Linked DNA regions of Anolis sagrei. The protein of the gene in region 1 interacts with the protein of each later gene in a pairwise test. Links are inferred from orthologs where the notes say so. Each region holds a gene or a part of one and is shown on either strand. Other genes may lie near its edges.

Region 1 (7,903 bases):
GCATGTAGTTTTAAAGCTCTTCAGTCTTCTCTACCAATCAGTGCTCAACAAACTACAAATCCCAGAATTCCATACCTTTGAGCCTTGGCAGTTAATATGGTGTCAAACTACACTCTAAGTGTTCCTGAATATCAACTTAGTTAACTACAGGAAAGCTTGCAATAAATGGAAAAAGGATGAGGAAGGTTTAATATAATAGTTTACAAAGCGTTATAGTCACATGTAATTATTCATATAATTTTGATAATATCTAAATGTAAACATTATTCCTAAATAGCTAAATTATTTTCAGTTTTGAGAATAAAAATCTCTATGATGTTTTGTTACATGCTATTGAAAGAAGAAGGCATGAGAAGGCATGCTGAGAAAGTACACTGGCAGAAAGTTAGTAGTCCTTAATAATGTAGTGTTCTGAAGAACATGGGAGAATGGGGCTGGGATTAATGAATAATATACACTAGATCAGTAGTACATATCTATACCTTCAAGTAGGTTCCAACCTAAGATGAGCCTAAGGTAAACTTATCATGTGGCTTCCTGAGGTTGAATCAACCAATGAATTTCCATGGCCAAGCAGGGTTTCAAACCCTGATCTCCAGCATCATAGTCCAACACTCAAACCACTACAATTTTTGGCCTCGAGGACATGGCATCAGAGGAAGAATAATAAAAGTGGAGAATTGTAAGTTAATTAAAAAGTAGTGCAGATCAAAAAGTAATGTGGTTGTATTAGTACTCCCTTTAAACTGTTCCAGGAAAGTATCAGAGGAACTGAACAAGGCCCTTGCAAACAAATAGTTGATTTTTAAAATTACAGTGATTGAAGAGGTCTCTAAACTTGAATGTAAATGTATATGTATCTGTACATTTCAGTACAACACTAGAATTCTTTTAACAACCAGAACAAATCTCAGTTTCCAAACATAGGGAGTGTTTTAATTAAAGCAAACCACGTTCAATTAAAGCCAACTATTCCAATAATGTTCTTTATCCTTCTTTAGATGATCACCATGAAACATAAGCTAGCAATTTTGCCAAGGGACCTTCCATGAGATAAATTCCACTCCCCATATGTTTATGATTCTATAGTAATGAAAATGAACTTTATAGTTAACTCTTAACAACCAGCAACAAGTAAACAAGAGTTTAAGCCACTCAGAGTCCTCTGGGGAGATGGGGTGGGATATAAATAAAGTTGTATTATTATATCATTATTACACAACACATGGAGAGTGGAATGTATTTCAAGTTATTGTTCTGGGCCCTTCCACACAGCCATATAACCCAGACTATCAAGGCAGAACATCCCACAATATCTGTTTTGAACTGGGGGCCCTTCCACACAGCCATATAACCCAGAATAGGAAGGCAGAATAACCCACAGTATCGGCTTTGAACTGTGTTATCTGAGTCCACAGCCATATATCCAAGTTCAAAGCTGATAATGTAGAATTTCATTCAGCTGTGTGGGAAGGGGGGCGTGTGGGTTATTTGAGGGCCCTTCCACACAGCGCTATATCCCAGAATACCAAGGCACAAAATCCCACATTATATGTGTGTGGACTCAGATAACCGAGTTCAAAGCAGATTTTCTGCCTTGATATTCTGGGATATAGGGCTGTGTGGAAGGGCCCTGATTCCACACTGCTATATATCTCAGTTCAAAGCAGATAATGTAGGATTTCATTCAGCTGTGTGGAAGGGGGGCGTGTGTGGGTTATCTGAGGGCCCTTCCACACAGCACTATACCCCAGAATTTCAAGGCAGAAAATCCCTCATTACATGTGTGTACTCAGATAACCCAGTTCAAAGCATATATTCTGGGATATAGGGTTGTGTGGAAAGGCCCTGAACCCACACTGCCTTATATCCCAGTTTAAAGCAGATAATGTGGGATTTTATTCAGCTGTACGGAAGGGGCCTCTCAATAACTACATTATCTGCTTTGAACTACTACAGACTTCCACTGCTTTCCTTTACCTTGCTTGAGGAAAAGAAATGGTTTTAGGAGGCCAAGGTATTTTTTCCAGCAATATCAGCTCTCTTTAGGAACTTTGCATAACGATTTCCAAGTATATTTCCAAGGGTGGAGCAGCCACCCAACCAGGCTATACAACATCCACAAAGATTCACATAAGGCAATAAATAATCCTGCTGAGGGGTAAAAAAAAAAATACTTCAACAGGAGCAGCAAATAGTCCAGTTCGCAAATGGAGACGATGAGCGCAGACTTCAGCTCGATTCCTATTTCATCCTGATCCACAGGTCTTTTAAAGAAATATACTCTTTTAAAAACACAACAACAAAGAAGCGAAGAAAGCCAGTGCGTTGTGGTTTTTTCAGTGCTTCTGGGCCAACGATGGCGAACAAACAATACACGTTACAGAGACTCCTCGCTTGAGGTCATGAGGGCAGGACTATAAAAACACAAGAGGTACAAATGAGCAGAGGCGATGAACCAAGCGGGAAGGCACTCCTCCTGTGGGGCCCTTGCTAGGCAGCTGAGGGTCCTTTCCTCCTTTCGCGTTCCCGGCTCCTCTCGGCCGCCTTTAGAGCGGTTCCTCTTTCTCCGGCTGAAGCGAGGGCATGAGGGAGGCCAGGGAGTCCGAAGGGGAAGAGGCACGGGGGCTTCTCCTCCTCCTCTCTCCCGCTCTCTCCTCCTTCCCCGGCCCTCTTCCCTGCCCGAGGAGTGAGTGGGTGAGGGTCCGGGGCGGGCTCCTGAGGAGACGAGGCCCAGGCCGGCGCTCCGCCCCCTCCACGTCCGAGCAGCCAGGTCTCCCGCCCGAAGGAAGGGGCTGCCTCCGTCCCGCGGCGGTGGCGGCGGCTTGGGCCCGGGAGAGGCCGCTCTGGGAGTCCGCCCTTGGAGCCGGAAGGGTCCCGCCGTCACTGCCTCCAGCCGGGCCCGCCGCCGCCTCCTCCTCCTTCTTCTCCTTCTCCTCCTTCGCCGCCTCCTTCGCTGTTCCTGCTCTTCCCGGCAGCCTTTGCGGCTCCTGTACACAGCCGCGCGTGGCCCACAATGCACCGCGGGAGGCGCTCCGCTCTTTCTCTCCATCCCAACCTGGCTCTCTCGCGCCTCCTCTGGCCAGGAAGCGGGATTGCACAAGGGAAGCTTTTCTTGCTGCTGGGTTGTTGTAGGTTTTTTCGGGCTATTTATTATCATTATTATTATTATTATTATTATTATTATTATTATTAATTTTATTTGTACCCCACTAGCATCTCCCGAAGGACTCGATGCGGCTAACACAGGCCAAGGCCTCAAAACACAATACAACAATACAATACCTAAAGCAAATTAAAAACAGTTAAGCAGAATAAACAACAAACAGTAAACAATACATCAAGACACTATAAAACTGGGCCGGGCCAGAGTAATGGGTGCAAGATTAAAAGTGCTGATGTGGCAGGAGGTATGTAGGATTATAAGTAAGTGCAGAGTGCAGTGTGCAGTAATCTTAGTTCTACTAAAGTGCTTCTGGGACTTGGTATTGGAGGTTCCTAATCTGAGAAGGCACATCGGAACAGCCAGGTCTTCAAGTTCTTTCTGAAGACTGCCAGTGTAGGGGCCTGTCTGAGATCTCTTGGGATGGTGTTCCAGAGTCGGGGGGCCACCACAGAAAAGGCCCTGTCTCAAGTCCCCACCAAGCGCGCTTGCGACGCAGGCGGGATCACGAGCAGGGCCTCTCCAGATGACCAAAGTGAACTTGTGGGTTCGTAGACGGAGATGCGGTCACGCAGGTAGGGTGGTCCCAAACCGTTCAGGGCTTTGTAGGTAAGCACCTGCACCTTAAATTGGGCTCGGAAGATAAACGGCAGCCAGTGGAGCTCCTTGAACAGGAGGGTTGACCTCTCTCTGTAATGGTACATGGTTAACATCCTGGCCGCTGCCCGTTGGACCAGTTGGAACTTCCAAGCCGTTTTCAAGGGCAGCCCTACGTAGAGCGCATTGCAGTAATCCAATCTAGAGGTGACCAAGGCATGGACCACCCCAGGCAGATCAGCCTTCGCGAGGTACGGTCGCAGCTGGCGCACAAGTCTTAATTGTGCAAAAGCCCTCCCATGGCCATGGTCTAGAGGCATTCTCTCCTGAAGTTTCGCCTGCATCTATGGCAAGCATCCTCAGAGGTAGTGAGTCTGTTGGAACTAGGAAAAAGGGTTTATATATCTGTGGAATGACCAGGGTGGGACAAAAGACTCTTGTCTGCTGGAGCTAGGTGTGAATGTTTCAACTGGCCACCTTGATTAGCATATAATGTCCTGACAGTGCCTAGAGCAAACTTTTGTTGAGAGGTGATTAGATGTCCTTGTTTGTTACCTCTCTGTTGTTGTGCTGTTGTAATTTTAGAGTTTTTTTAATACCGGTAGCCAGATTTTGTTCATTTTCATGGTTTCCTCCTTTCTGTTGAAATTGTCCACATGCTTGTGTATTTCAATGGCTTCTCTGTGTAGCCTGACATGGTGGTTGTGAGAGTGATCCAGCATTTCTGTGTTCTCAAATAATATGCTGTGTCCAGATTGGTTCATCAGGTGCTCTGCTATGGCTGACTTCTCTGGCTGAAGTAGTCTGCACTGCCTTTCATGTTCCTTGATTCGTGTTTGGGCAATGCTGCGTTGGTCCCTATGGTGGTCCCTATGTAGACTTGTCCACAGCTGCATGGTACACGGCAGACTCCTGCAGAAGTGAGAGGATCCCTCTTGTCCTTTGCTGAAAGTAGCATTTGTTGGATATTCTGGATTTTCTTGGTGTGATTTTCTTGCTGCTCCCCTATAGAGAGAGCGCTCATCCAGCTACACTTAAAGCCTCATCACACTGGATAAAAAATCTACTTATAAAGCCCGACTGCTCATTGGAGGGAAGAATAGTAGAGGCCAAGATGAACTACTTTGGTCACATCATGAGAAGAAAGGAAAGCTTAGAGAAGACAATGATGCTGGGGAAAATGGAAGGAAAAAGGAAGAGGCGCTGACCAAGGGCAAGATGGATGAATGGTATCCTTGAAGTGACTGGATTGACCTTGAAGGAGCTGGGGGTGGTGACGGCCGACAGGGAGCTCTGGCGTGGACTGGTCCATAAAGTCACATAGAGTCGGAAACGACAGAACGAATGAACAACAACAAAATCCGTTTCTGCCTCCTGCAGAATTCTGGGGTTTGTAGTTTAGTAAGCCTTTAACAGCCTCACTAAACTATAAACCCCAGGATTCTGCAGGAGGCAGAAACCGGATTTAAAGTGGATTCATTCTCTAATGTGATGAAGTGATTACTTTGTCGCACTAGAGCAGTGTTTCTCAGCCTTCCAAATGCTGTGACCCTTAATACAGTCCTTCTTGTTGTGCTGACCCCCAACCAGAACATTAATTTTGTTGTTGCTTCATAACTGTAATTTTGCTACTGGGTTGCTGTAAGTTTTTCGGGCTGTATAGCCTTGTTCCAGAAGCATTCTCTCCTGACGTTTCACCTCAAAACTATAGGTGCAAGCGAAACGTCAGGAGAGAATGCTTCTAGAACAAGGCTATACAGCCCGAAAAACTTACAGCAACCCAGTGATTCCGGCCATGAAAGCTTTTGACAACACAGTTTTGCTACTGTTATGAATCGTAATGAAAATATCTGATATGCTGGATATCATATATTAGTAATAATACTAATAATATTACAATATAATGGTATAGTATAATAGAGTAATATATAATTCGGAGAAGAGCAAAACACCTGAAGTTTGCCCATGCCTGTTAGACATCCTTAACCATTTATCCTTCCAGATTTTTTTGCATACATTTAGCCCTCCATATAAACACTCTTGTCAGCTCATAATTTTGTATTTTTTGTATTTTTTTAACAAATGTACATTCCTTAATATTTTATAATTCAGGATATACATCCATAGCATTTTATAATTCTGGATTATTTTATTTTGTAACCCCCAAAGCAATATGTGCACCCTTAACAGGATTAAATATTCCAATAACAGAGATGTGTTACAAAAATGCAGGAGAAACTTGGTGAGGTTTGCAACTTTATTATTTAAGATGGGATTGGTAACTAATTAAATCCCTACGGCAACATGTCTTCTTCAGTATAGAATCATTGACTTGGCCTTCAAATAATCACTTTAACTGCTGTTAGCTGTCAAAGGGTGTATACATTTTGGGGGGATGCCTTGAATTTCCTTCTGAGGGACTGCAAATAGGATTGAGAAGAAATCCCCTTTCCTCCCCTTGGGTCACAGCTAAAAGTAATCCTATCTTCTACTCTAACCTGGGAGCTATTGAAAACACCCGCTTCTGATTTAACAGCATACAGTTAAAACATGAATCCCTCATGTAAAGACTAGCACATTTTATTTGACAGATGTCTGTCTTCTCTGACAGGAGTAGATTTTTCAAGGTGCCAGGAGATTTCCTTGTTTTCGCTGCAAGATGCTAAAGATTAAACTTAGGAAAAATGCCTTTGGCTGCAAGTCACGTCACGTGTATGGTGTCCCACGACTGAGCAGGTTTGCAGAGCCTTGGGCTGTAAGATCCATCCTCTCTTTCCATTCGTTGGTGAGCATAAGGTGAATAGGTACAACTTTGCCCTGCCAATTATGTTATTTCACCAGTGTGATGTTAAGACAAGCCGCAGAAAGGGGGGCGGGTAGAAGAGGAGCAGGCATCTGGCCTGAGAAGAGCAAAGAAACCACGCTCCATAGCCTAGCCGGGGTTTCTGAGAGCTTAGCTGGAGGGGATTAACATTTTTGAGAAGCGGAGGGAGGGAATTTCAGCTGCTTGTGAGGTACTCAGTGAACAGTGTTCAGGTCTTCAAGTCCCTTCCCCCTTGTTTACTTGAGAGAGCAAATTCTATCATTGCAAATAATGCACCTAAAGATGTAGTGTTTCTATGAATACACAGGTTTAGGATCCATTATCCAAAATGCTTGTTTTGTCTAATCATAATTGAAATAATAATTTTTAACCCACCTCTCCCCATGGATCGAGGCAGGGAAAAGTGGCATCACTAGGGGATTGTAGGGGGTACAAAGCACACTGTGTGATACTATCAGAAGGGCTGGCATCAAAATGACTGTCTATAAAATGTTCATGCAAAAATTGATTATAAAATAAAAGAACATAAAATATCAATACATGTTAAAACAGCCCATAGTTTCATAATTTAAAACGTATAACTTAAAATACACACAAGTACTGGAAGCCTGATGCTATGGAAGGGTTTCAAATCTAGGGTAGGTCGTGGAGAATAGAGCAGTTAGTTTTTTTTTAAAAAAAACTAGTGGATAGTAGTCTTTTGCATTTGTACAGAATCACTATCCGTTTCAGTTGGTTTCATTTGTAAGGCCCTGTTTTCGTTTTCGAGCACCTCTCCTGAAAACGAATGCCTTTCCGAATGAGCTTTTCATTCACTAGGTTCTTGTGGGTTTTTTCGGGCTATAGAGCCATGTTCTAGAGGCATTTCTCCTGATGTTTCGGCTGCATCTATGGCAAGCATCCTCAGAGGTTGTGAGGTCTGCTGGAAGTAGGAAAAATGGGTTTATATATCTGTGGAATGGCTGGGGTAGGGCAAGGAGCTCTTCCCTGCTGCAGTTAGGTGTGAATGTTTAGCTGATCACCTTCATTAGCATTTGAAGGCCTGCCTGAGCCTGGGAAAATCTGTTGCTGGGAGGTGTTAATCTGTGCCTGGTTTTTTCCTCTCTGTTGTTTAGCTGTTATAATTTTAGAGTTTTTTAATACTGGTAGCCAGATTTTGTTCATTTTCATGGTCTCTTCCTTTTTGTTGAAATTGTCCACATGCTTGTGGATTTCAATGGCTTCTCTGTGTAGTCTGACATGGTGGTTGTTGGTGTGGTCCAGCATTTCTGTGTTCTCAAATAATATGCTGTGTCCAGGCTGGTTCATCAGGTGCTCTG
Region 2 (7,614 bases), on another chromosome or scaffold:
TTTATCTTTACTTATGAGATATAAATATTAAGCATTAAAAACATTTAAAACGAATTGCAATTATTGTGTAGACTCAGTAATGAAATAGTACATTTCGCTAAACTCAGTGTGAATATTGCATGCAGATCCCAGTAAGGTGGCCTTCTGCAGATGGTAATTTTGTCAGCGCCGATTGTGTTTAAGTGCAGGCCAAGGTCTTTAGGCACTGCACCCAGTGTGCTGATCACCACTGGGACCACCTTGACAGGCTTGTGCCAGAGTCTTTGCAGTTCGATGTTTAAATCCTCATATCGTGTCAGCTTTTCCACTTGTTTCTTTTCAATCCTTCTGTCACCTGGGATTGCAACATCAACAATCCATACTTTGTTTTTTAACACAACCGTGAGGTCAGGAATACTGTGCTCCAAAAACTCTGTCAGCCTGAATTTGGAAGTCCCAGAGGAGTTTGGCGTGTTCATTCTGTAACTTTTTCTGACTTGTGATCCCAGCACTTCTTTGTTGCAGGCAGACAGTATTTGTGACACAAGTTCCAATGAATCACCCGAGCAATGGTGTTATGCCTCTGCTTGTATTCTGTCTGCATGATCTTCTTGCAGCAGCTGAGGATGTGATCTATTGTTTCATCTGCTTCCTTGCAGAGTCTACATTTGGGATCTGTTGCTGACTTTTCAATTCTGGCTTTGATGGCATTGGTTCTAATGGCTTGTTCTTGGGCTGCCAGGATCAGGCCCTCCGTCTCCTTTTTCAAAGTTACAATTGTGAGCCACATCCATGTTTTTTCTTTGTCTATTAGGCTTTCAATTTTTCCCAGGAACTGTCCATGGAGAGCCTTCTTTTGCCAGTTTTTTCTTCTGCTCTGGATTGTGTTTTTACGGTATTCACTTTTCACTTTTGCACTTTAAGCAGTTTACTACTATTGACTTCCCTCAATTATTATTAATTATTATTATTATTATTTTACTGACACAAAGCACAGTATGACACAGCAAACAAAATCTCTATGCTGGATTTCATATCACGAAATCACAAGTCGAACACTTCCCAAACGTCTAGGACTGTGTGATATACTTTTGAATGATGTGTGCAGATCCAAGTAAGTTGGCCTTTTGTAGTTGACAGATAATGATTTTGTCGATGTTTATTGTTTCCAAATGCCGGCTGAGATCTTTTGGCACAGTGACCAGTTTGCCAATTACCACTGGGACCACCTGTACTGGCTTATGCCAGAGCCTTTGCAGTTTGATTTTGAGGTCGTGATAACAGTTGATTTTTTCCTGTTTTTCCTCAATGCCACTGTCACCCAGTATGGCGACATCAATAATCCAAACTTTTTTCCTTTTCCACAATCGTAATGTCTGGTGTATTGTGTTCCAAAACTTTGTCAGTCTGGATTTGAAAGTCCCACAGTATTTTTGCGTGTTCATTTTCCACTACCTTTGCAGGTTTATGTTCCCAGCAATTCTACTACTATTGAATTCCATCAATGTTGGTTCTTCACTGCCTTTCAAATAATCTGCCAGTGCATGTTTCTCTTCTTCTACCATTTGTTTCACTTGCAGAAGCCCTCTGCCTCCTCATTTTCTGGGCAGGTAAAGTCTGTCGACATCATTCCGCGGGTGTAAAGAGTAGTGGATTGTCATCAGTTTTCTTGTTTTTCTGTCCAGATCATCCAGCTCTGCTTCTGTCCAGTTCACAATTCCAGCAGTGTATCTAATGAAGGGGATGGCCCAGGTGTTGATAGCCTTGACTGCATTTCTGCTATTTAGTTTACTCTTCAAAACCTTTCTGACTCTTTGGACATATTCTTTGCATTGGCATTTTTCACATGCCAATGCTTTATATTGTCCAACTGATTGTACTGTGGTTAATGTATTGTCGAAGGCTTTCATAGCTGGAATCACTAGGTTCTTGTAGGTTTTTTCGGACTATAGGGCCATGTTCTAGAGGCATTTCTCCTGACGTTTCGCCTGCATCTATGGCAAGCATCCTCAGAGGTAGTGACGTCTGTTGGAAATAGGAAAATGGATTTATATATCTGTGGAATGACTGGGGTGGGGAAAAGAGCTCTTTGCTGAAGCTAGGTGTGAATGTTTCAGCTGACCACCTTCATTAGCATTTGAAGGCCTGGCTGAGCCTGGGAAAATGTTCTGTTGAGAGGTGTTAAGATGTGCCTGGTGGTTTCCTCTCTGCTGTTTTGCTGTTGCAATTTTAGAGACTGGTAGCCAGATTTTGTTCATTTTCATGGTTTCCTCCTTTCTGTTGAAATTGTCCACATGCTTGTGGATTTTAATGGCTTCTCTGTGTAGTCTGACATGGTGGTTGTTGTACTGTGGTTGTTTTTATGATGCTAGCATCGTATGATGCTTTTGTTAGGCCGCCCTGAGCCTCCTTTTGGGGGGAGTAGAGCGGGGTATAAATATAGGAAATAAATATAGGAAATAAATTGTAGTATGGCCAGATATTGATAGGCTTCAGGCTTTATGGTTTGTCCGTTCCGCATCTCTATACCCTCGCTGTGTGTAATTTTAACTTACTTTACTGCCACTGTGGCACATTTGTCCAGACAGAACCCTATTATTATTATTAATAATAATAATATTATTATTATTATTGACACCACTTTGAACTGCCCTGGCTCCATGCTATGGGATTCTGGGAATTGTAGTTTGGTGAGGCAGAGAAGGCCCAAGGCCTTGCAAACTAACTGCAAGTCTAGTAATTCCACAGCATGGAGCCAGGGCAGTTCAAAGTGGTGTCAAACCGCATTCATTCTGCAGTGTGGACGCAAGCCATCCACCACCCCGCTCCCTACCCTCACCTTCCCATTGGACACCGCTTTGCAGCGGAACTTGCGGTTGGCATCGGCCCGGCGCCGGGTGAGCTCCTCCTCGGAGCGGAAGGTCCAGCGCCGCCTCTGCGTGCTGCTCTGGTACATCCCGGCGCTCTCCTTCCTCTTCGTCCCGTCATGCCCCGCGCGGAGCCGCACGCGGATCTTTCCCCGCTAGCGCGCACTGTCACGTGACATCACTGCGCGCTTAAGGTCAAAGAGATCGAGCCAGACCAAAGCGTGAGACTCCCGAGGAAGCCATATGCGTGGAAAGAGTGGGAGAGGGTTCCTCAACACCAGGCATGCGCAAACTTCGGCCCTCCCTCCAGCTGTTTGTGAATTGAAGTCCACCTGAGAGGAGGGCTGAAGTCCCAGCATTCTCCTCTTTCCAGCCTATGGCTAAAATTGGAATGATGTTCAACATAGTACCGGAAGTGTAGGGTTGTAGCTTTCCTTGCCTCTAGAAGAGACGCCTTTGTGGAGGATAGTAAGACCAAAGAGGTAGAAACAAGAAGATGGGAACATAGGTATCGATTCGGGTTCCCATTTGAAGGCCAGTTAGGTGTATAATAGAGAATGTAGCGCAGACATAGGCAAACCTTGGCCTTCCCTCCAGGTGTTTTGGACTTCAACTCCCACAATTCGGCTGTTAGGAATTGTGGGAGTTGAAGTCCAAAACACCTGGAGGGAAGGCCAAAGTTTATCCATGCCTGATGTAGAGCGAGTTCTAAATATACATTCATATTTTGGAGATGGAGCTAAAAGCCTAAACACAGTCTATATAAACAACAACCAGGCACATCTTAACACCTCTCAACAAAAGATTTTCCCAGGCTCAGCCAGGCTTTCAAATGCTAATGAAGGTGGTCAGTTGAAACATCCACACCTAGCTCCAGCAGAGAAGAGCTCTTTGCCCCACCCCAGCCATTCCACAGATATATAAACCCATTGTCCTAATTCCAACAGACCTCACTACCTCTGAGGATGCTTGCCATAGAAGCAGGCGAAACGTCAGGAGAAATGCCTCTAGAACATGGCCCTATAGTCCGAAAAAACCCACAAGAACACAGTCTATATATATGTGTGTGTGTGTGTGTGTTTCATACCCACCTTATCATGCGATGTGCGGGACTTGATGAATGCAAGGCCAGGGTTAAAATTGCTGGAAGAAACATTAACAACCTTAGATATGCAGATGATACCACTTTGATGGCCAAACCGAGCAGGAACTGATGAGCCTTCTAATCAAGTTGAAAGCACAAAGTGCAAAAGCTGGGTTGCAGTTAAACATTAAAAAAACCCAAGATTATGGCAACAAGACTGATTGATAACTGGGAAATAGAGGGAGAAAACGTGGAGGCAGTGACAGACTTTGTATTTCTAGGTGCAAAGATTACTGCAAACGCAGACTACAGCCAGAAAATCAGAAGACCCTTACTTGAGAGGAGAGCAATGACCACTCTCGATAAAATAGTGAAAAGTAGAGACATCACACTAGCAATGAAGATCCGCATAGTTAAAGCAATGGTATTCCCTGTAGTAACCTACGGATGTGAGAGCTGGACCTTAGGGAAGGCTGAGCAAAGGAAGATAGATGCTTTTGAACTGTGGTGTTGGAGGAAAGTTCTGAGAGTGCCTTGGACTGCGAGAAGATCCAACCAGTCCATCCTCCAGGAAATAAAGCCCAACTGCTCACTGGAGGGAAAGATAGTAGAGGCAAAGTTGAAGTACTTTGGCCACATCATGAGAAGACAGGAAAGCTTAGAGAAGACAATGATGCTGGGGAAATGGAAGGAAAAAGGAAGAGGGGCCGACCAAGGGCAAGATGGATGGATGTTATGCTTGAAGTGACTGGCTTGACCTTGAAGTAGCTGGGGTGATGATGGCTGACAGGGAGCTCTGGCATGGGCTGGTCCATGAGGTCATGAAGAGTTGGAAGCGACTGAACGAATGAACAACAACAAAGTAGTTAAACAAGGAAGGGAAAAGGGCTGTGAATCTCCTGTCTTTAGGCTAAACAGAAGGAAAGTTAAAGCAGGGAGGACCTCAGAAGGTAAAAAAAGAGGGCAGGCTTTGGAATAAGTAGCAGATATGTCTATTGTAAGGTTATGAGGATATGTCAAGGATTATAACAATAACCCATATATTCCTGGTCACTCCATTCAAACAAGAAATGTGCACGCATGGCACTAAGACACAATATCTAGGTTATGGGTGTATCTACACTGCAGAAGTAATGCAGTTTGACACTACTTTAACTGTCATGGCTCAATACTGTAGTCATGAATATTTTATCTTAGAATAATATGATAATAATACGGTTCTGGCCCAGCTTACCTGTCTGAACATATCTCCCCCTATGACCCATCGCAAAGTCTAAGATCAATGAGGGAGGCCTTGCTCTCGGTTCCACCATCCTTGCAAACGCGACAGCATTAACAAATTGTTTTAATTGCTTTCATCATTTATTACTGTTGAATGAATGCCTGTTGTGAAGCCGCCCTGAGTCCCCCTCCGGGGATGAGAAGGACAGGATACAAATATGCAAAATAAATAAATAAATGAGCTGAAAGAGTCCATAAGGGCCATCTAGTCCAACCACCTGCCATGCAAGAAAAGCACAATCAAAGCACCTCCGAAAGATGGCCATCCAGTCTGTTTAAAAGCTTCCAAGGAAAGAGCATCCACCACACTCCGACGCAGAGAGTTCCATTGCTGAAGAGCTCCTACTATCAGTAAGTTCTTTGTAATGTTCAGGTGGAATCTCCTTTCCTGTAATTTGAATCTATTGCTTCCAGTCCTAGTTTCAAGGGCAGCAGAAAACAAGCTTGCTCCCTCTTTCTTATGACAGCCTGTCACATATTTATACATAGCTATCATGTCTCCTCTCAACCTTCTCTTTTGCAGGCTAAATATTCCCAGCTCTTTAAGACACTTCTTATAGAGCATCGTCTCTAGACCTTTGATCATTTTAGTTGCCCTCCTCTGGACACCTTCCACCTTGTCAATATCTCTTTTAAACATTGTTGGCTCGTGTTCAACTTGTGGTCTACTAATTCACATGGACTGTTGTCGAGCCAGGCATCACCCATCCCGTTGTGTTATATACAATTTTAATAATTGTTTGCATGAAACAAAGTATGTGTACCTTAGACCATCAGAAAACAAAAGGAGCTCTTATCACAGCCACCTATAATAGGCAATTTTGGAGTATTTTGCAACCACTTTAACTGTCATGGCTCAGTAATGTGAAATCATATGAGTTGGTAGTTGCCCATAGTCTTTAGCCTTCTCTGTCAAAGACTGCTGGTGCTTCACCAAACTACAGCTGTCATGATCCCATATCATTGAGCTAATGCAATTACAGTCGTGTCAAACTGCATTAATTCTACATTGTGGATGCACCCCTATTGCTGCCATCTAGATCACATTGGCTTTTTTAGCTGCCATATCACATTGTTGAGTCGTATTCAGCTTGTGGTTTACTAATACCCCTAAATACCCTTCACGTGTACTGTTTTCAAGCCAGGTGTCACTCATTCTCTATCTGTGCATTTCATTTTTTTATGCCCAAAGTGTAGACATACATTTCTCCCTGTTGAAATTCAATTTGCTAGTTTTGACATGTCTCTCCAATCTATTAGAATTCTGACTCTGAGGTATTAGCTACCCCTCCTACTTTCAACTTATTGGACTGATGGCAGCCCTAAGACTGTATCACAGAATTTTGTGGCAAAATTTATTTAAAGGGATTTGTCATTGCCTTCATTTCGACTGAGAATTGTGACTAGTCCAAGATCATCTTGTGGGCTTTCGTGGCTGATCAGTGTTTCAAATTCTAATTTACTAGAGTCCTAGTCCAGCAGTTAAATTGGTACATCATACTGGCTTCTTGACATGATGTGATACAACTAAACTTTTATGAATTCATCATATTAATTTATAAGGCACTGTGTGTTGTATCCAACAATATCACTTGTGTTCAAGCAAGGGCCACTATGCATTTAAAGACTCGGCACAAGAGCAGAGTTTTATGTAACTGGTCATTCCACAATTGGTTGCGCAAGAATCTGTATGTAGAGTCTGCTGTACTACTAGAACTCCAGTACAATTAAACTAGGAAACTTTTTTCCCTGACTTCACTAAGATGGCTTTGGATCTTGACTCATATTGTATATCTCTCTGGAAGAACTTTCCCAAATCTGATACCCTCCAGATGCAGCAGACTGCAACTTTCTCCATTCCCTAACCAACATGTGTTTGAAGAGCATCAGATTGAAGAACTAATCACATAGGATTAAGTGAAAATGCTGTAAAAAGCAGTGGTGACTCTGCTTTGTGTTAGAAGCGGCTGTAGCAAATTCATTTCATAAAATTTACTAAACCATTAAAGTGGGAGGGGGGAGAGGAGGAGGAGAGAATAATACAAATAAATAAAACCTCAGTGCTTGATTTAATGGTACAGCTTTAATGAATGAATCAGAAAGATGCACCACTGAAAATTAAACTGGAAACTGAAATGTGCTAGTTAATTATGAACGGCTGAATTGCTTGTTGTGCAAATTGTCCACAGGCAGGAGAATTAGAAATGCAGTGTTAATTTTACAAGTATTGTAATCTCATTTTCATAACTAGCTGTAAAAGTTATTAATCAATTGCTCTGGCCAATCATGTGTAAAAGTTCTTTGCCTATGAAGATGTTTTATTTTGCCATTAAGCATTACATTTGCTAGAATATTTGGTCAGAACTATGAGAATAGTGGAATGGCAAAGCAAATTTGGAAGAT
Region 3 (6,871 bases), about 240 Mb from region 1:
AATATTTATTTATTTATTTATTTATTTATTTATTTATGGCATTTATATGCTACCCTTCTCACCCCGAAGGGAACTCAGAGCAGCTTACAAGCAAAAATTAAATACAATATATTATTATTATCATACCACAATATTAATATTATATATTACATTGTACTACTGTAATATTAATAGTATTACATTTAATATAAAATATAATTATAATATCATTTTATTAGTAGTAGTATATTGTATTACATTATAATATCTACATTATGTACAATATTTTATATTATATTGAATTATATTATACTATAAGCACAGTGCAGGAGACAAGATGGAACTACCTTTCTGGTCCCTTTCTTCATTCTGATCTCAGAGCAATATGAGTCTTCACTAACATGTAATGAAGTTTCAATCTGCATTATATGGCAGTGTAGGTGGGGTCTCCATTGGCAAATATGGCAGTGTAGATGGGGTCTGAGTTTGCAACCTTTATTTATTTATCTACCACATTTATATCCTGCTCTTCTCAATCTCGAAGTGGACTCATGGCGGCCTTACAAAGGCAACAATCCAATGCCATATATTAATATATTGGTAAATAAACAAAAACATTAAAACCAAACCCATTAAATCATAGCATTAAAACATAAATTAAAATCACATGACCCAACTTTGAAGTAAACTGAGGAGAAAGGGGGACAGAGTAGGAAAAGGTGAAGAAAGGCAGTATGTTTGTAAAGGAGCTGAAAAAGTGGGAAATCAAAATAGTTGGAGGGGTAACAACATATAGAGAGTCTCACAGATGAAATTCAGAGCTACTATATGCAGGATGTACACAGAGTGTAGGTACTGAAGTTGTGAATAAGCACAAAAGATATCCTAAGAATAATGCACATGTCCACATGTGCTGTTATTTAAGACCCGTGGCTGGGGCAAAAGGAGGATCTAAACCAGTGGTTCTCAACCTGTGGGTCCCCAGATGGTTCGACCTTCAACTCCCAGAAATCCTAAAAGCTGGTAAACTGATTGGTATTTCTGAGAGTTGGAGGCCAAAATACCTGGGGACCCACAGGTTGAGAACTACTGATCTAAATAAATGCAATGATAATATTTGTGTAATAGAATATAATGCAAAAAGTGATTGTGGGCCTTCAAGTTCTCTCCAACGTATGGCAATCCTAATGGGAGCTTGTCAAACTGTTTTCTTTGTCTTCTGAGACTGAGAGATTGTGACTTGCCCAAGGTCACCCAGTGGGTTTCCATCGTCGAACAACAAGTTATGCTCCAATGCTCGGGCCTCTACCTCACACTAGCTCTCATACTTAGTACTGCACATTGAAATATATACATATACATATATATACACACACACAGAGAAAGGAATTTGTTTGGGCTTAATTTGCATGCTGAATGCTAATGCCATGAATGTAACATTTCTAGTAGTGGTGGAATACATGCTTCCAAATGAAGAATGTGGTATATTTGATTTTGTCAGATGAGGCTGGAAATAAGCCTGCTGAAAACCCTGGAGAGTCTAGACTGACTGGCAGCTTCTTCCAGGTTTTAGTAGACACTGCTAAACTAGATGGATCAAGGTCTGAGTTGTTGTAAGGGATCTCCCTATGTTTTACTTTTGTATATGGGGAGATGTGTTATGAAACATAGGAGCATGTATGAACAGGGTTGCACTTGATTGCCTGTGCGAATCCATGGCACCACATGCATTATCATTATGAATAAACAACTATAGGTGAATATTAGAGTGTAATAGTCCCATATTTCCAGGATATAACATTACACGGGCCCTACGATTTCCTGCAAAGTATGGATAACATTGCTTACTGTGTTGCTGTGAGTTTTCTGGGCTGTTTGACCATGTTCCAGAAGTATTCTCTCCTGACATTTTGCCCACATCTGTGGCAGGCATCCTCAGAAGTTGTCAGGTGTATTTACTAAAGTGGTGTTAGAGTTCATTTCGCCTTGACTTACAAACTGACCTAAGGATAAGTCCCATCAAATCCTTAATTTTTTTCTGATTCATGGTCACCCAAGTGTGTCATGGGATTCAAACTAGTTAGCTTGCTAGCAGATCATAAGTAACTTACCACGAGGAAGTGATCTTTGAAGTAGATTTCAGGGTTTAGTTTCCTTTTCATTCATTCTTCGCCAACTTCCATTCAGATATGTTAGATGTGGGATAAATAAGAGTTATGATAATACCCAGAAGAGGTCCCTGAAGGTGCATCTACACTGTAGAATTAAAGCAGTTTGACACACTTTAACTGCCATGGCTCAATGCTGTAGGATAATGGGAGGTTTAGCTTTACGAATCCCATGATTGCTGTAGCATTGAACCATGGCAAACTGCAATAATTCTACAATATAGATGCATCCCAGTTGGGAAAGGTAGAGTAAAGAATTCTGCTACTTTTTATAGGCTAGATAGGAACCTCCCTCACCTTGAAATTCCTACCCTTTTGTGGCTAAACCTGCCTGACTTAACTTCAGCCTTCCAGGACTTTGCTTTGTCCTCTCATGGACTGTCTCTTCTACTCACAGGTAGAGTAATAGAGTTGGAAGAGACCACATAGGCCAGGGGTTCTCAACCTGTGGATCCCCAGGTGTTTAGTCCTACAACTCCCAGAAATCCCAGCCAATATACCAGCTGTTTGGATTTCTGGGAGTTGGAGGCCAAACATCTGGGGACCCACGGGTTGAGAACCACTGACAGAGGCCATCTAGTCCAATCTCCTACCATGCAGGAAATCACAGAGTATCCCTGACAGATGACTATCCAGCCTCTGTTTAAAAGTTTCCAAGGAAGGAGCTTCCACTACACTCCAAGGCAGAGAGTTCTACTATTGAACAGCTTGTGCAGTCAATATGTTCTTCCTAATGTTCAGGTGGAATATCTTTTCCTATAATTTGAACCCATTGCTCAGAGTCCTAGTCTCAAGGGCAACAGAAAACAATTGTGCTCTCTCTTCCTTATGACTCCCTTTCACATATTTATACATGGTTATCATGTCTCCTCTCAACCTTCTCTTCTGCATGCTAAACATACCCAGTTCAAGATGCTCCAGATCTTTGATCATTTTAGTTGCCCTCTTCTGGACACCTTCCAGTTTGTTGATATCTCTTTAAAACTGTGTTGCCCAGAACTGGACACACTCTTCTAGGTGAGGTCTAACTAAAGCTGAATAGAGGGGCACCATGATTTCTCTTAATCTAGACCAGTGGTTCTCAACCTGGGGTCCCCGGATGTTTTTGGCCTTCAACTCCCAGAAATCCTAACAGCTGGTAAACTGGGATTTCTGGGAGTTGTAAGCCAAAATACCTGGGGACTCACAGGTTGAGAAGCCACTATTCTAGGTGAGATCTAACCAAAGCTGAATAGAGGGGCACCATGACTTTCCTTGATCTAGACCAGTGGTTCTCAACTTGTGGGTCCCCAGATGTTTTGGCCTTCAACTCCCAGAAATCCTAACAGCTGGTAAACTGGGATTTCTGGGAGTTGTAAGCCAAAACATCTGGGACCCGCAGGTTGAGAAGCACTGATCACTATATTCCTATCTGAGCAGCTAAAAAATCCCATTGGCTTTTTAGCTGCTCACTACAGGTGATACGTCGCAGCTTCCTTAGTTTATTCCCTGACCTTTCTCTGGATCTACATTGCCTAAATAATAGCTTCCTTCCTTCCCAGCATGTCCTTGGTTTGACACATAAGTCCTTTTCCTTCCAAGGAGCAGTTAGCAGAGGCTGGAGAGCTCTTCAAAGGGTTGTATTCCTTTGCAGTTAAAGGGGTGGTTTCCCCCATTCAGTGGGAGGGAAGGGGTGGGCTTAAGAAGTCAGATGCCTTTTCAGAAGGGAAAGAGAATGGATCAGGCCAGGGGCGCTGCTTAGAGGATGCTCAGTGTGTTTCTGTACAGAGACCTTTCTCTTGTCCTGGGAAGAACATCCCTCTCGGGCAGCCACTTGTGGAGCATGGTATGCTATCGAAGTTGTTCCTGGGGGAAATGTCGTTTTTTGTGGTCACTGGAATTCCAGTTTCACAATATTTGTCTCATTTGGACGTGAACCGTAATAAGTCCTTAATGGAGCAACTCATCTGTAAATGCTCTTTCTCTTCTTTGTGTTTCTCTTTCGTTTCATCCTCCAGGACCCTCCAAAATCGACCAAAAGCACTACAAAAGCTAGTAGCAGCAGCAGCAGCAGCAGCAGTGGTAGTGGCAGCAGTGGGACCGGGAAAGATGGCAGCACAGAAAATTCAGAAGAGGTAGGATACTTATTCTGCAAAGGATTATATGTTGTGCATTATATACCGGTTAACATTGAGTTAAATTAAAACTGATTAGCAGGAAGTGTCTGTTTTTGAACATAATTTTTTTCAGGGTGGGGTTGGGAGCAGCAACTGTTGCGTATTGAGTAGACGTGTATGTAGGATTGCACCGTGAAAGTGCTTAGTTAGCTTGCCTGGAAGCAAATGTGTATTGTTGATGCATTTGTTTCTTCTTAAAACAACAAGTGTGTGCACGTCTGTGAGTATACAGATCCAACCAGTAGTCTAAAAGATGAGAGGATTTGTGGCATGTCTTAATGCATTTATAATTGTTTTAATGTATGCTAAATGTATATTATGCTTTGTTTTTATTGTTTGGCACTGAATGGTGCCTGTTGGTAGCCGTCCTGAGTCCCTCTTTGGAAGTGAGAAGGACGGGATAGAGATGCTCCTAATAATAAATAAACAAATAAATAAATTTCAGGATTTTTAGAGTTAGCAACTGAACTCAATAACAAATTTATAATGAGGGGTGGGTAACTGGAGGGTAGAGAGTTGTATTGGGACCTCCTAGAATATATTTCAGAAGTCTCTAATGAAGTAGTGGATATGCAGAAATACTCCATGCTTATAAGATCTTCCAGGCACTTGATTCCCTGCCACTGCTATAGTTTAGGTTGAGTATTTCTTACCTGAAGTGCTTAGGACCAGAAGTATTTTAGATTTTGGAATCCCTGTATTTATGGAGGACAATAGATCATGACCTGTCAGGATTGCTGTCCATTGGCGTATATAGATCATAAACTGTTAAGATCACAACCTAATTATGGTAGCAATTCAGAGTTTATTGTCGGAGGCTTTCATGGCCAGAATCACTGGGTTGTTGTAGGTTTTATCGGGCTATATGGCCATGTTCTAGAGGCATTCTCTCCTGACATTTCGCCTGCATCTATGGCAAGCATCCTCAGAGGTAGTGAGGTTGTTGAAACTAGGAAAATGGGTTTATATATCTGTGGAATGACCAGGGTGGGACAAAGAACTCTTGTCTGTTGGAGCTAGGTATGAATGTTTCAACTGACCACCTTGATTAGCATTTGATGCTAATCAAATTAAAACAATTAAAATTACAACAGCAAAACAACAGAGAGGAAACAATCAAGGGCATCTAATCACTTCTCAACAAAAGATTGCCCCAGGCACTGCCAGGCCATCAAATGCTAATCAAGGTGGTCAGGTGAAACATTCACACCTAGCTCCAGCAGACAAGAATTTTCCCAACTGGGAAACCCATTTTGTGGTGCCAGAACACAGTCTGTTCAGCGCCTTCCAAGTTGGCCAGTTTTTTGTGTGCCCAGGGGGGAGTCCCTCATTTGGTATCAGCCATTGATTGAGGTTCTGGGTTTGAGCCTGCCACTTTTGGACTCTCACTTGTTGGGGTGTTCCAGCAAGTGTCTCTGTAGATCTTAGAAAAATATTTCTTTATTTAAGTCGTTGATGTGCTGGCTGATACCTAAACAAGGAATGAGCTGGAGATAATAATAATAATAATAATAATAATAATAATAATAATAATAATAAACAACTTTATATATAACTTATAGCAGAAGTATGCTAGAGGACCTAGAAAATGGTCAGAAAGGTCAAATTTAGGCATTGCTCAGTTCTCTAGCATAACTTTGGTCAACTTCCAGTGCACCACCTCGAGAATCTTGGAAAGGACATATTTTGTTAGAGATTGGTAAATGAAACCACAGGTTGCAGTCCTGGATATATGGGAATCATACTGAATTATTATGAATTGTTTGCATCTCATGGGAGATATAATTAAGTAGAGTGAGAGCAAAAACCTGTGGAAAGTTAAAGGAACATAAAAGAGCAGTCTGGTCCAATAGTTTGTTTATATGCTAGTTACTAAAGGACCAAGTGGCATGCAGTTTTAGTGGCAAATAAATTCAAGGAATGGGGCATGGTTTAAAAGAGACATACTGAGATAATTGATTGTGACACAGAGGAGTAGCATTTTGCAGACTTTCTTTCATAGTCTGCGCATGAATAGCAAGGTGTTAGATTCCACCCCCGTTGCTGCTGAAACTCAAGTAATTGTTAATATCTCTTATCTATATCTGCAGAGCACAAAAGATCAGAATATTTGTTCTTTTCTTCAGCTTGTAGTGAAAGGAATACTACAGCATTCTGTATCAATGCTAAATATAATACTACATCTTTACTACAGGTAGGGTATGCAACAGGTGTATTACAATTGAGTATGAGACCATGTGCACTGCAGAATTATAGTAGTTTGACACTTCCACTGCCAAGGCTCCATCGTATGGAATCCTGGGATTTGTAGTTTGTTGTGTCACCAAAATTATCTGACCGAGAAGGATAAATATCTCACAAAACTACACATTCCAGAATTCCATTTCATGAAGCCATAGCAGTTAATGTGATTTCAAGCTGCTATAATTCTGCAGTGTGGATGCAGCTGATATATAAATGGTCACGATAGTCTCTTTGATTTCTTTCTCCTGAACCTTTTAGAGGGGTTTGTAGCTTATACAGTTCTCCTGCTGCTGCTCAGTGGCTGCTTTCATTTGTCTCTGGAGA
Region 4 (7,109 bases), on another chromosome or scaffold:
AGGGGTTTAACCCACTGCGCCACCGGGGGCTCGGAAATAACCATGAGTTCCACACATTCATTATTTCCTTCTTTTAGGAATTCTATAATTTTCAAAATTTTGTAATTTTGTCAATGAGATTTTTATGTGCCGTTGATTATACTTATGTCATTGTATTTATATTTATGTATTGTTGTCTGCACATGGTACTTGGGAGTGCTTCTGTGAGCTGCCCCGAGTCCCTTTGGGGAGATGGTGGCGGGGTACAAATAAAGATTATTATTATGATTAATATTTCAGTCAGTGCAGTACACTCATTTTTATGAATGTATCCTGTATTTCATTTCTTGCACAGCCTTATAATAACAACAAAAGGATATTATTATTTTTTTGAAGGGGAAGTGTAAGACTAAAACTGTGACTCTCGATCCTGATATTCAGAAGCAGTATTGGGATTTCATGCAATCTGCCAGTCATCGCTTTAAAAGGAACCAACAGGTTGAGTGGGAGCCGGCTGACAAAGTGCCTACACTATTTGCATTTTAAAAGGGCCCTTTTCTTCTCCTTTAAAGCATTCCTGCCAGTCCAACAGGGGGCAAAAGTTTAAATCTTGCTCACAAGCATATTCAAGCAAAAAGAATAAGGAGAATTTACAGTGGCAGGGCTGTTCTCCAAGGAGGAACCTTCCACTGTTTCCATTCTATACAAAAACGCCACGGTGGTTGTGTCCCCAACACCTGACACACTCACAATGTAGAGAAACTTTGCCCGGTAATTAATCCTCACTGCCAACGGACTATTTAACATGGCTGCCTCCTGTTTCTTTTTTGTCCGCAAACATTTTTTCCCCCAGGAACGGAAACCTGAATCCGAGCAACACAATAGCCAAATCCTAAGAAATCACAAAGCTCCCCAAAATTTTAGGGAGTGCTGTTTTTATTATTTTTGAAGCAAAGTGGCAAAATGCAAACAACCAACTGTTGAAGCAAATAATAATAATAATGAGTTGCTGTGAGTTTTCCAGACTGTATAGCCATGTTCCAGAAGCATTCTCTCCTGACGTTTCACCCACATCTATGGCAAGCATCCTCAGAGGCTGTGATGTGTTGGAAAATAGGCAAGTGGAGTTTTTATATTATATTATATTATAATAATATTGATTGTCTTTCTGATGTTTTTCCAATGCCACGTTTTTTTCAGACTTTGAAGTGAAAAAGGCACCTTTCTAAACCAGCCTGTGAGACCAAAACCACAAACCAGTTCCAGCAAAGCCAAGAAGCTCATTGTTGTTCTCCCCTCCTCTCATTCCTTTCCATCAATCTGCAGTCAAAAAGAACAAAGCGAAGGGAAGAGAAGGAGGGTAAGAAAAGATGGGGGGGGGGAGGGAAGCCCCAAAACAATATTGGTTTGTCTTTTGAATTAAAAAAAAAATAGGGGGGGGGGGAGTTGGCATGGAGCAAAGCATCTGGTTTCAAGGGCTGCTCCTAGAGTCCTTTGCTTCTCTCTCTTTTTTTCCAGACTGTAAGGTAAACCTGGGAGGAAATCCAAAGATTTTTGTTTCTAAACATTGCTCTCTGGGCGGAGAAGCAGGCGAGGCCACATTCCTGGCCGAGAAAAGCCTGAGATTGTAGGCAGGCACCGCAGGTAAAGCCAAGCAGAGGGATCAGGGCTAAAAATACACAGCCAGCCTAGTTTTTCTTACCCATGTTGTGTGTGTGCATTACGTCTTCCACCAGTGGGAAAGGTCAGCAGGCCACTTGCATTAATGAATATGCAAAAAAAGGAAATGTAGTCTACCTTTCCAAGGTATGAGGAAACAAAACAAAACACTCCGACCACTTTCCTTCTTGATTCCCTGCAAAGCCTTGCTCTGGGTGGGTTGCAAACTCCCCAAGGAAAAGAGAAGAGGGACCCAGAGAGCTCTCGGCCAGGCATTTTTCATGAGGATCTATCTGCAACCAACGCCATGGTTTGACTTTTAGGGGAGGGGGGGTGTTGATATGCCCTGCCAGGAAGTGCAAAGGGAGAGGGGGAAAGAAAGGCACATGCCCTTTCCATGCAACAGTTCCCAAACAGGTCCTCAAGTGGCCATGTCAACTATAAACAGCACAAAAGAAAGACAAGGTAGTCGGGGCAAGAGGGGAAAGGAGAAGAAGGGTGGGATTAGGAAGGAAGGAAGGAAGAGAGCGGGAATGGCGGCAGGCAGGTAGGCAGGTAAGAAGGGGAGAGGAAGGAAGGAAAAGGAGAGGAAGGAAGGAAGGGCAGAGGAAGGAAGGGTTAGAGGAAGAAAGGAAGGGGGAGAGGAAGGAAGGGGGAGAAGGAAAGCGAAGAGGAAGAAAGGAAAGAAGGAAGGAAGGGGGAGAGAAAGCAATGAAGAATGGAAAGGGAGAGGAAGGAAGGAAGGAAGGAAGGAAGGAAGGAGAAGTGGAAGGAAGGAAGAATGGAAAGGGAGAGGAAGGAAGGAAGGAAGGAAGGAAGGAAGAGGGAGAAAGGAAGGAATGAAAGAAGGGGAGAGGAAGGGAGGAAGGGAGGGAGGAAGGGAGGGAGGAAGGAAGAGGGAGAGGAAGAGGAAGGGAAGCTTCGCCTACAATCCAAGCCGAGCGGCGACGGGGTCCTGGAGGGGAGCGAGCGCCCCAGAAGTCAAGGCAAGAGGGATCCGGGGTCAACTTCTTGTTGTATCCAAGGGAAATCGCAAGAGCAGCAGGGATGCCAGGCGCACTCAACAGGCGGCGGAAAAGAGAGAGAAAGAGAAAGAGAGAGAAGCCAGGGTAGGACTCACTCACTCACCACGCGCGCCCGGGGCTCCGCTGCCACCGCCGCCCGCATGCTCCCTCCTCGCCTGGAGCTCCGGCCCACCGACCCACCAGCCGCCGGCGCCGGGCTCCGCCACGATGCCTCGCTTGCTCCTGCTCTCTCTTTCTCGCCCGCCCGCACGCGCCGGCAGCTCCCGGAGCCCCTTCGCTCTCCAGACACGCAGGACGCGGGAGAGCGAGAGAGAGAGGTAGAAGCACGCGCGCGCACTCTCTCTCGCTCGCGCGCACTCACTCCCTCTGCGCGCGCGACCACGCAATGCGCACGCTCTCCTCTCTCTCTCTCTCTTTCCACTGACTAAAGAAAGAGCCGCCAGCAGCGCCACAGCCGCCTTTGGAGCGGGGACGCGCCGCGCGCTCCCGAGGCCACTCACTCACTCACTCCCTCACTCAGCAAGCCAGCCAGCCAACCCAGCAGCCCGCCCGCAGAGCCCTCCTTTCCCTCCTCCCTCCCTCTCTCTCTTTCTTCTCCCCCCCCCCTCCCTCCCACCTGCTACCTTGGGCTTTCTCTTTCCCCCTTTTTTTGCTTCCTTTCGTCTTCTTTCTCTTTCCCGTCACCTTCTGCGTTCCTTGGAGCGACCCCCGCGCGCACCACCACCACCACCACCAGCTCCATTCATCTCTTCTTCCTTCCTTCCTTCCTTCCTTCCTTCTTTCTCTCAATCTCCAGATTGAGAGCGCGCGCTCACCCACCCACCCAAACACACACACACAAGCGCTTGCCTTCAATACATAATAATAATAATAATAATAATAATAATAATAATAGAAGAGTTGTGTTCTCTCTACACCAATTCTATGGGTCCTCTTTTGCATATGTACATAAATGCGGATTGTATAGACACCTATACACACTCCCCCCCCCCTTCCCGCGCGCCTCACCTTTCCAGGGTCTCGCTAACACGCATTCCTCTCTCTCTCTCTCTCTTTTTTTTTTTTCCCTCCCCCCCCCCCCGCCCCTTTTTTACAGGGAAGGGAAACCCATTTCCAGCCGGGGAAACCTGCTGCTCAGGCTGCCTGCCTGCCTTCCTTCCTTCTTGCCTGCCTTCCTCCCTCCCTCCCTTCCCTTCTTGCCTGCCTTCCTCCCTCCCTCCCTTCCATCTTTCCTGTCTTCCTCCCTTCCTTCCTTCTTGCCTGCCTGCCTTCCTTCCTTCCTTCCTCCCATCCATCCATCTTCCCTGTCTTCCTTCCTTCCCTATCTTTTTCCTCCCTCCCTCCCTGCCTTCCTTCCTTCCTTCCTTCCTTCCTTCCTTCCTTCCTTCGTTCCGTCCTTCCTTCCTTCCTTCCTTCCTTCCTTCCTTCCTTCCTTCCTTCCTTCTTGCCTGCATGCCTGCCTGCCTTCCTTCCTTCCTTCATCCTTCCTTCTTGCCTTCCTTCCTTCCTCCCTCCCTCCTGCGCGTGGAAAGCCTGGGATCCCCTTTCAAAAGCCATCTTTCCTCGCGAGTCAGGTGGGGGCCTCCTTTCCCTCCCTTGGAACCAGCTTGGCCACCATTCAGTCTCAAGCCAGCACTGGCTCCTTTCCACCAACTATTTTCCCTCCCCCCTTTTTGCCCCTCTTCTCTGCCTGCCTGCCTGCCTTCTGTTTTCACACCATACTCCCTCTCCCTTTACTCCATCCACCCTCTTTTTATTACTGGTGTTTTGTAACCCGCAGGGCGCCTTCTCTAGTCTACAGCGAGGAGGGGAAAACACCTTTGTGACCCTGACCCTTGCCTCTGTTTGTATACAGAGAGAGAGAGAGAGCACTGCCAGGGGGTTGATTCAGACAAGTTAAAGTAGGTATGGGCAAACTTGGGGCCTCCAGGTGTTTTGGACTTCAACTCCCACCATTCCTAACCGCCTCAGCCTGAGGCGGTTAGGAATGGTGGGAGTTGGAGTCCAAAATACCTGGAGGATCCAAGTCGGCCTATACCTGGGTTAAACTGTCCTTTTGACTGGCTCTTTTCCCTCTCCAGCTGCCTCCACTGAGTCATGGCATTTTCGTCAGCAATAGGTGCCAACTGCTTCGAGGCGAAAGGTGAGCACATTTGTAAGAGGAACCAGTCAGACACATCTAGCACCACCTTTTCTCCCCCCCCCCTTCTTTCTCTTCTTTTTTTCTTCAGCCACTCCTCCTTTGCAAGGCCAAGCTGGGAGGCAGGGCTGCTTTCCCACTGGACACGCCGGGGCTCCGCCTTGCTCAAGCCTCTCTTGCCAAAGACAGGTAACAAAAGTCGAGAAAGCACTAAGCAGCCTGCTTTGTGAAGTTTTCTGTCAAGAAGAGAGGCTGTTTCCTCTGGGAATGGGCTTCCTAGCTACATATGTGTTGGCTCCACGCAGAAAGACACACACACCCCACGTGCATCATTTTGTGCCGCCACAAATAAATAATTTAAGCACCCATTACCCATCGCAATTACATTGATGTCGGGTTTCGAAGCAAGTCTTTAAAACCCAAGCTTCTTTCAACTGTGTTAACACACACTTTCCAGCTTGTTGGGGCTTGCTGAGCCTCGGGGCCGAAAGTGTACACTTTTATAGAGATCTGCATCTTAACTGCCTTTGAAATGAAAGAGCCAGAGAGTCGAAGGAAGGAGAGATGGATGGAGACAAAGAAAGAGCAACTAAATGTATGAAGTTGGGCAAAACTCTTTGGAGGCCCCCTCTATCTCTACTTAAGCAATCCCTCGTTGCCTGACAACTTTATAACACTAGAGAAGGAATCCACTTTAAATCTGGTTTCTGCCTTCTGCAAAATTCTGGAGTTTGTAGTTTACTGAGGCTGTTAAAGATTCCTCCCTAAACTACAAACCCCAGCATTCTGCAGGAGGCATCAACCATATTCAAAGAGGATGTGATGAGGCCTTCTGGGTATGATGGCCTTCAAAGTTCTTGGAAGACACCTGTGTGAGAGTTCTTTAAATGTGTGGAGGTTGGCACACTGCCCATAACACACAGCCTTCACAGAGTGAGGGTCCCAACCAGTGACATGGTTAACATGATGGGGGCGTCTCAATCTGTTGCAGCCTTCTTCTACCTTCACACCCATTGTAACATGTACCATGTTACCTTCTGTCTGATCTGCTGTTGAGGTCTTCGGATTGTGCTTGGTCTGGAATCTCCCCTGCAGCCCCCTGAAAAGTGCATGGCTCCAGTGGTTACACCCACAGGTTCACTGGAACACGCAAACCCCCTCACCACATTAAGGTGACAATCCATCAAGGAGTATGGATTATCTCTGATATGCCGAGGGGTTGCTTCAATGCCAGCAAAAATTTTTACTCCTCTATCATCTAACAGGGAGCTCTAACGTGGGGTGGTCCATGAGGTCACAAAGAGTCGGAAGCGACTGAACGAATAAACAACAACAAATCATCTTCATAGGCAATCACTCATGGCCGAATATGATTGTCTTCCAGAGGTAGAGTCTTGGTGGTGGGTCTGTAAGTGAATGTGAAGACCTGGATCCACATGGTCTTTCACAATCAAGACATAGGTTTCCAGATGGCAGGTGGTGACAGCAATGGTTTGCGTGACATACCTTCTTCCTCTTGGCATGTTCCTTTTGCCCCATATTTGTGCCTCTTCGAAAGCCATGGCACTGTTAGGAACAGCTGGTTTCCAGTTGGAACACACAAGTGCCAGGGATTCCCAGTTCTTGGAGCTTATGCCATGCTTATTAAGGTTAGATTTAAGCCCATCTTTAAATCTCTTTTATTGTCCACTGACATTCTATTTTCCATTTTTAGGTTGAGAATAAAGTAAAAAATAAAGCTTTGGGAGACAGTAATAAGATTTTGGACACCGTGGCCTATACTTCAACCAGTGTTGTGCCGTTTGAATGTTGCACTAGGATTGTGGGGCACCTTGGGCAACTTATAGTCTCACAGCCTAAGAGGAATGAAATGGCAAACCTCTCTCAAAGACAGTCCTAGGACAGGGTTGCACACAACAACGAGATCCTGCATTTGCCCAGTTTTAAAAGTGCAGGAGAAGAATCACTAGAACAGAATGAGTAGATTGGAACAAGAATGATGGCTATGCCTAAACATCAATGGCATCACAAACAGTTATTATGAACTGCAAGCAGATACAGTAGCAACAACTGCCCTTTTTTCCTATCAAAACGGAGGCAATGCATCTTCTAGGGACTTGCCCTGCAACATCTCATGGCAAATAGAGACTGAGAGCCACAGTGCCCTCAAATGTGACAGATCCTGTGAAAACCAATCAATTTTGCAGGACCCCACACTGTTCATCCGTTAAACCCCCAACAGTGCCAAGTAATATTTTTGAAGTTTATCCAGAAAGAAGGCAAACAGCAGCAAGAAAACAAGCTGC

Evidence for each region.
Region 2: the proteins of PPFIA1 (region 1) and CCNH interact in binary tests that used the Homo sapiens proteins (3 or more experiments, as listed by UniProt). The link is inferred for Anolis sagrei from reciprocal best matches to the Homo sapiens genes PPFIA1 and CCNH.
Region 3: the proteins of PPFIA1 (region 1) and PPP2R5D interact in binary tests that used the Homo sapiens proteins (3 or more experiments, as listed by UniProt). The link is inferred for Anolis sagrei from reciprocal best matches to the Homo sapiens genes PPFIA1 and PPP2R5D.
Region 4: the proteins of PPFIA1 (region 1) and PTPRF interact in a two-hybrid assay, tested with the Homo sapiens proteins (2 studies listed by BioGRID). The link is inferred for Anolis sagrei from reciprocal best matches to the Homo sapiens genes PPFIA1 and PTPRF.

Annotation. Positions count from the first base shown.
Region 1 is NC_090021.1:267,212,251-267,220,153, reverse strand, and holds the start of PPFIA1 (liprin-alpha-1), read right to left. Parts: upstream 3,003-7,903; 5' UTR 1,981-3,002; intron 1-1,980. UniProt on the Homo sapiens protein: May regulate the disassembly of focal adhesions. May localize receptor-like tyrosine phosphatases type 2A at specific sites on the plasma membrane, possibly regulating their interaction with the extracellular environment and their association with substrates.
Region 2 is NC_090022.1:258,125,248-258,132,861, reverse strand, and holds the start of CCNH (cyclin-H), read right to left. Parts: upstream 3,018-7,614; 5' UTR 2,936-3,017; coding exon 2,819-2,935; intron 1-2,818. UniProt on the Homo sapiens protein: Regulates CDK7, the catalytic subunit of the CDK-activating kinase (CAK) enzymatic complex. CAK activates the cyclin-associated kinases CDK1, CDK2, CDK4 and CDK6 by threonine phosphorylation.
Region 3 is NC_090021.1:24,509,460-24,516,330, forward strand, and holds the start of PPP2R5D (serine/threonine-protein phosphatase 2A 56 kDa regulatory subunit delta isoform), read left to right. Parts: upstream 1-3,864; 5' UTR 3,865-3,891; coding exon 3,892-3,972; intron 3,973-4,144; coding exon 4,145-4,261; intron 4,262-6,871. UniProt on the Homo sapiens protein: The B regulatory subunit might modulate substrate selectivity and catalytic activity, and might also direct the localization of the catalytic enzyme to a particular subcellular compartment.
Region 4 is NC_090024.1:182,583,700-182,590,808, forward strand, and holds the start of PTPRF (receptor-type tyrosine-protein phosphatase F), read right to left. Parts: upstream 3,023-7,109; 5' UTR 2,767-3,022; exon of another isoform or gene 2,759-2,766; intron 1-2,758. UniProt on the Homo sapiens protein: Possible cell adhesion receptor. It possesses an intrinsic protein tyrosine phosphatase activity (PTPase) and dephosphorylates EPHA2 regulating its activity.